Linked DNA regions of Saccharomyces cerevisiae S288C. The gene in region 1 interacts genetically with each later gene. Each region holds a gene or a part of one and is shown on either strand. Other genes may lie near its edges. The genes, in order: PUS9 and HRT3.

The links.
Region 2: mutations in PUS9 (region 1) and HRT3 together harm fitness more than expected from each alone (negative genetic interaction), as found in Saccharomyces cerevisiae (one large-scale study listed by BioGRID).

Annotation. Positions count from the first base shown.
Region 1 is NC_001136.10:386,838-390,588, forward strand, and holds PUS9 (pseudouridine synthase PUS9), read right to left. Parts: upstream 2,065-3,751; coding exon 676-2,064; downstream 1-675. Other genes in the region: GPR1 (Gpr1p), read right to left, coding at 2,335-3,751. UniProt on the Saccharomyces cerevisiae protein: Responsible for synthesis of pseudouridine from uracil-32 in mitochondrial transfer RNAs.
Region 2 is NC_001144.5:335,607-339,467, reverse strand, and holds HRT3 (SCF ubiquitin ligase complex subunit HRT3), read left to right. Parts: upstream 1-2,202; coding exon 2,203-3,237; downstream 3,238-3,861. Other genes in the region: CHA4 (Cha4p), read left to right, coding at 1-1,941; serine/threonine protein kinase KIN2, read right to left, coding at 3,435-3,861. UniProt on the Saccharomyces cerevisiae protein: Substrate recognition component of a SCF (SKP1-CUL1-F-box protein) E3 ubiquitin-protein ligase complex which mediates the ubiquitination and subsequent proteasomal degradation of target proteins. Probably recognizes and binds to phosphorylated target proteins.

The DNA.
Region 1 (3,751 bases):
AATCATTAAGTTTTGCTTTTTCGGCTTTTAAGCCATGCTTTCAGGCAAAAATTAAGATTTCTTCGTAAAGATCGGAGCCTTACGCCCAAGAAGCAACTGGCCGTAAAATTTTTTCTTCGATCGGGTGGCAAATGGAACAGAAGATCATGAGTAGAAGGAAAAGTAAACAAAGAATTGCGTCGGTCAACCGGTTGTTGCTGCGTGCTTCAGCGGGTGATAAATAAAAGATTTCCTATCTGAGTAATCGATGACACAAGCGGTCTGCGCTCGGTCGCTTCCAAGCCTTAACAAAGTTTTTACTTTATGGTTTTTAATAAATAAATAAAAAGAAACGTGGATTTGGATAGCAGAAAGCCTCGAAGATCATTTTATCAATGAAATTTTATGGTTAACACTTTCAAGACTCCGATTTTCTCTGCTACGTGAAATTTTAGGTTGCGAAAAGAATACTACCGGGAATACTAGGAGTGTGGAAGAAAAGAAATGGAAAAGAAAAGGAGAAGTGGTCATTCTTCACATCTCATTGTCTTCCTCCTGTAAAGATTTTAGCTTTTTTATAAATTAAGATTAAGATTGTAGCGTGATGTTCTGTTACTGTCATTTTTGATTGGCCAATGACTGATTATAACAGAAGACCAGTTTTCTATGTATTATTGTCCGACAAGTCAGGAACCTCTATCTTCTCAGAGCCCATTCTGGATACTCTGTTTTGTAGCACCACTTTTTCTTTTCGGTTCCTTCTTCAGTCTCAGTTGATTCGTATAGATAGGCATGTAACCACAGATCAAGATCATTGGGGCCAGGATCAGTATACAAATCAGATTCACAAATAGAACATTTTTCTTGCCTTAATACCTCACCGTACCCGCCATTACTATGGAACCAACTTTTAGCAGGTTTTCTTTTCCCTATTTCGTCTAGCTTAGTAATAACTATATCGAAGTCAGCCTGGCCGCCTTTTCCGAGATTGTTACCCCATACTTCATCATTGGAATAAATAGGATCGTTAGCAATTGGGTGGCCTAAGTACTGTAAATGTACTCTAATTTGATGTGATCGCCCGGTAAGCGGTTTGCACTTTACAATACTCGTTTTACCGTCGTAGCTGATTCTGTTAAAAACAGTTTTTGCATGTTTGGCTCCTTTCTCGTCCATTTGACAAACTGCATTAAGAGCAAGCCTTGGCTCGATCAGTTTTAGAGGTTTTTCAACAATTACTTCCGTTTCTGGAAATTCTCCAACTACCTTGGCCACGTATTCCTTAGTGACTTCTCGAGCTTTTAGTTGATCGCCGATATTATCGGCTCCCTTCGGAGTTTTTGCCAAAAACATTAATCCACTTGTAAGCCTATCTAACCTATTACATGGGTTCACAACAAATCCGAGATTATTTTGAAGCATTTTCGTAATTGTATTGAACCGATATCGGCCAGTTGGGTGAACAGGTATACCGCTCGGTTTATCAATAACCATTATGTTATCATCTTCAAAAATAACTTTGATAGGCCTGGAAGTGACTGGAGGTTCATGTCTATGTACCTGATGCGTAATCAGGTCACCATTGCGAATTACAGTAGATAAGTCCGCAGTTTCATCGTTTATATGAACGTCCCCGTTTTCGATTGTTCTTTTATAATATTCAGATTCACGATCTCGAAATTCAGATATAAAGACATCAACCAATTTTTTATCTCTCCAACGCTCTTTGCAAAAGGTCCTGTACGTAAAATGGTAGGGCTTGATTTTCCTTAGAGGGCCATCGATGACAATTTCATACTCTGGATCTAGTTGTCTATGTTTCTCTTTTTTGCTGCCTATCGTTCGTGATTGAAAAGTAGATTTATTAATCAAATCTGGCGATTTTTTTGATTGAGTTCGCTTTATTTTTTTTTTCTTTTGAATTTCCCTCTCTCTTTCAACCTCATTTTGCAAATGTTCATCAAACTCATTTGAGGTTGCATTACCTGCAAAAGCAAGACCTGCAGATAATGCATTCCTTTTGAGTTGTCGAGCCATTATTACTGGCACTGTAAACAAATTTCTTAACCTATTATTTCTTTGCATAAGTTTCCTATTCCATTATACGAGCACTCATCCATTTTCAAAAGTTTTTTATGAACTTTTTCTTAACTCGGTCTTTTGTTCTCTAATGGTTCGCCGCCAGACAGAAAAAAAGCTTACTTATCGAGGAATCACATTGCTTCAATGAATAAATTCTATAATGCATATACTACCTAACATATATAAGAGAAGTGAGCGTCATTCATGTCGGCTACTTGTCAATTTGTATTACGTTCCTTACTTTCCATTTTCAAACATCGCGATACAAAAACTTTATAATGGTCCATTTCTTAAGAAGGCTATCAAATCTATGCCGCTACTATCACTACTATCATTATCGTTCTGCGCCTCAATTATTGGATCAGGAGTCGTACCTGGTATTGTGGGCTTGACCAGATAATTTTCAGATGCACTAGCATCTGAATAGCGTAAATTCTTATCCTCTTCAATGCTATTCTCATCATCGTTTGTGACAATATTGCTTGAAAAGAAGCTGGATTTGACCATACTGTTAGTTGAGACGTCCTGATGTTTATCGTGACTTTTATTTTGGTTTAATGCAAATTTCAACCCGGGTAGAGAAAAATGGTCGTTATTGTACCGTATTTTCAACAATCTGTTTAACTCATCAAGATCTATTCCGCCAAGCATTGGAATATGATGAATGATCCTCCAAAACAAGGGCACTTCAACCTCTTCGGCCGTGATGTTATTAAGCATTGCCTGTAGTTCAAGTGAATTTGATGGAAGGGAGCGATCGCTACTATTCGTTTTAGTCTCATCAGATTCTGTGCGTTTATTATCGTTTGAATCTTTGGCTGAATAGTAGTTTTCCCAGTATTCAAAATCGTCACAATTGTCATAAAAACTAAAGTGTAGTTTTAGTTCAAACAATTGTTTAAAGAAGCGTTCAACAAACCACAGTATACGCTTCAGAGGGTTTGTAGAATATTTCCAGCATTTTCTTTTCTTCCACTTACCACGATAATACCAACCTCTTTTCCCCCAATTGCTGTGACAAAACTTCAGAATTTCCTTTTCACCAAGCTCTCCTTTCAGAATATATTTTTCAATGAGATATTTTGATTCTGTTTTTGCCCATGAATAGTTCCAAGGTTTTTCCTTGAACAGGTAAACAATGACGTCGACGAGACAACTTAATGGTCGAACGCAAGTGTCAATGTATGTCACCCACATGGTAGGCCCATGCTTTATTTCATGATTGTATTGCAACGCATCTGCAATGATGGGGAAAAGCCATATCCCAATATACGACAGTGGATAAATGAATATTGCCCTTAGATTCTTTTGAATTTGTGCCCTACGTTTTTTCATTTGTTTGTAGGTTTGGGCTTGGAAATGCTGTTGTACGTTGGTGAAACTTGAATTTTCGCATCTGTCTGCATTATTATTCACTCTCTCCTGTGAAAATTGTTGAGACGGAGTAAATGCTTCATTAGAAAGTGTAGGAATATTATCGGCTGGATTAGTATTATTGTTATCAACGTTATTTTTAATATTATTACTATTATTATTATTATTGTTGTTGTTGTTGTTATTGTTATTATTATTGTTATTATTATTATTGTTATTATTATTATTGTTATTATTATTATTGCTATTATTGTTATCGTTATCGTTATCGTTATTGTTGTTGTTGTCGTCGTCGTCGTTGTTACTGTTGTTGTTG
Region 2 (3,861 bases), on another chromosome or scaffold:
TTGGAGCCTTCACCTCCACCTTTAACAACAACGGTAACACCCTCCCTTCCGTCCAGTTTAAAGAAATCTGTGACAGATAATGACCAGAATAATAACAACGTGCCCAGGAAGAGAAAACTAGCATGCCAGAATTGCCGTAGAAGAAGAAGGAAATGTAACATGGAAAAGCCTTGTTCAAACTGTATCAAGTTTCGTACCGAATGTGTATTCACTCAACAAGACTTAAGGAACAAAAGATATTCTACGACTTACGTAGAAGCTTTACAGAGCCAGATTCGGTCTTTGAAAGAACAGTTGCAAATATTAAGTTCCTCGTCTTCCACAATTGCTAGCAATGCTCTCTCCTCGTTAAAAAACAACAGTGATCATGGTGATGCTCCTAATGAAAAAATCTTAAAGTATGGCGAAACAGCACAATCAGCACTACCATCATCTGAAAGCAACGATGAGAATGAGTCTGATGCGTTCACCAAGAAAATGCCTTCCGAGAGCCCTCCACCAGTTGGCACAAATAGTATATATCCATCAAATTCCTTGTCTATAATAAAAAAGAAGACGGATGGAAGCACAAGATATCAGCAACAGCAGGTCAGCCTAAAAAATTTATCAAGAAGTCCCCTTATCTTAAGATCGTTGTCACTCTTTTTCAAATGGCTATACCCGGGACATTACCTTTTCATTCATAGAGAAACTTTCTTAAGTGCTTTCTTCGGTGATACTAACACTAAAAGTTACTATTGTTCCGAAGAATTGGTATTTGCAATCGCTGCATTGGGATCTTTGATTTCATACAAATCAGAAACTGAGCTTTTTCAACAATCTGAAGTGTTTTATCAAAGAGCCAAGACGATAGTACTCAAAAAAATTTTTCAACTGGAAGATTCTTCGTTAGCTGAATCGTCGTCCTCTTCGAAATTAGCAATCATCCAGACTCTATTGTGTTTGGCATTTTATGACATTGGAAGCGGAGAAAACCCCATGGCTTGGTATCTTTCTGGGCTGGCATTTAGGATTGCCCACGAAATCGGCCTACATTTGAATCCAGAAGCATGGAGTAATGTTTATGAAGACGAGCTGTCAATAATGGATTTTGAAGTGAGAAGTAGAATTTATTGGGGCTGCTACATTGCTGATCATTTAATAGCGATCCTCTTTGGAAGATCAACTTCCTTGCGTTTGTCCAATTCCACTGTTCCAGAAACAGACGAGCTACCTGAAATTGAGACTGGTATAGAGGAGTACATATATGACCCAAAAGTAATATTGTCCACTGCAAACCCCTTGAAGAAACTGATTGTGTTATCGAGAATAACGGAGATTTTTGCATCCAAGATTTTCAGCCCAAACGAAACTCTACTTCAAAGGAGTGAATACTTGGCCAAATTTAATCTGGAGGTATACAATTGGAGAAGGGATTTGCCCCCTGAACTACAATGGACCAAGAGGTCATTGATGGAAATGACAGATTTTAACCCAACCATAGCTTACGTATGGTTTCATTACTATATCGTGCTAATTTCCTATAATAAACCTTTCATATACGAAATCAAACAAAGCCGGGAATTGGTTGAAGGTTATGTTGATGAACTGTATTATCTTTTAAAAGTTTGGAAAAATAAATTTAAGACGTTTGAGAAGGCCACAATTTACATGATTTATTCTGCGATTTTAGCCATCCAATGCATGAAGTCCAACTTGATTAAAAAGGATAGAAAACAAGACTTCTTAAATTTTTTAAGTGCGCCTACCCTGAATTACGAACTTGCTAGAAAATTCATAGAAAACTCTGAAGATGCTTTGCATAATTCAGAAACTATGGATTTATTAGGGACTCTATCTCACGGTAACGATTTTGCCTTAGAGTACAATTTTGACTTTACTTTATTGAATGAGATTGATATGCTGATTGGTGGAAACACCAATGATGGTTTGTCGAAGTAATCTTGAGTGAAGAGGATATGTTTACTTGAACAAATATTCTTTATGTAATGTGTTTGTAGCCTTTTTATTTGGGAAGGAATATACCGCTATCCTTTCCCACCTCCGAACTTATCGATTCGGAATTTTAAAGAGCCTTCCAAATGACAAAAAAAAGGATTGTAGTTCCTAGATAGCGAAATCGACTGAGCAAGATAAAAGCAAACATTCCCCATCATCTTTGGCGACGACACATGTGTTCCATAAGCTAAACTCAAGGAGCAAATGATAGTAGATTATGAAAAGGACCCTAGGGCTAAAGAGGCTATTGCTATTTGGGAAAAAGGTGTACTGAAAGAGAAGGATGGGTCAATGTCAGATGCTATAAACTTCTATCGAAGTGCATTGAAAATCCATGATAATGTGGAATCACTGTACAGAAAAAAAATACTTGATGAGTGGATGCTGCACAAAAAACTATCGGGATTATCAATGACTACTGATGCTCCAGATGAACAAAATGAAACCGGTAAAGATGACTTATCTGTTGAAGAAAATGCTGAACTTCAACCCTGCTGGATTCTGGAAATCTTGCCTGACGACATTTTACTGAGAATTATTAAAAAAGTTATATTAATGTCTGGTGAATCTTGGGTGAATTTGTCGATGACTTGTTCCACCTTTAGCAAGCTTTGCTTCCACGATTCTGTGCCATTTAAAACTTTCGCGAAGTACATATATTCTAAGCAAATATACGACAAAATGGCAATGGATCTTAACGGAATCACCGATATAAATACCTTTGAAAAGGAAATATGGCGGGGTGATGATTATCGTATGTTAAGGGAAAGGCCATATATTAAATTCGAAGGTGTTTACATCAGTGTAGTAAATTATGTAAGATACGGTTCCAATGCAGAAAGTTCGTTATCTCTTTTAAAGCCAGTTCACATGATCACCTATTACAGGTATTTCAGATTTTATGAGAACGGCCAATGTTTGAGATTACTTTCTACAGATGAACCTAGCGCTGTCGTGAAGCACTTCTCCAAAGAGAACAAACCCAGGCATAGTCATATGTGTTATTGGAGCCTCGGATTTGATTATGATTTTGGTCATTTAAAGATAACAAGGTCAGATGAAAAGTATACGTTTATCGAAGAATTCCAAATCAAGAATCAAGGCAATAAGAGATATCAACGGTTGAAATGGCTAAGTTCAATTGTAGTGGATAAGGAAGGGAATGCATCTAACTGTTCGTTGAGAAATGAGAAATCTTTTTTCTTCTCCAGAGTGAAATCTTTCAAGGATCCTGGATGACATCGATGTTTTTTGCAGTTGTTTTACTTTATTTATTATTCTTATAGATTTATGTAGAACTATTATTTCATCATATGAAAGATTAAAGAAAGCAGATCTCAGCTTAAATAAATTATACTATAATATTAAAAAAAGATAAATATTAGATAATAAAAATTGAAAGACACACGTTGAAATATTTAGTAAGAACAACGTATCTATAGGTTTAATTCTTTTAAAATATACGATGCCAATTCTTTATATAGCCACGTATTACCAGAAACCTTTTTGAAATGTACACCTGCTAGGCCGACGATACGAACCTTTACAATGTGAATCTCAAATTTAATAGGAGGCCTTTCTTTTATACCAGAAGTATTGGTTTGCTCTGTTTGACCATTTACGTTATTTATATTTTGGGCTCTTGATGTTGTTAAAATATCATCCTGTTGTTGAACATAATCTAATGACATGGAAGATAGTTCCCCTGATGTACCATTACTTTGGTTTCCGTAGTTTGGAGACATTGGGATAGATGAATTTCTTTGATGTGTATTGGTCGCTAAAGGTGTTAGTGGTATATTATTCTGGCCCCTCTTATAAGAACCTTGGCGTTTTATCGAACTATTTCTTGATGCTGAGGAC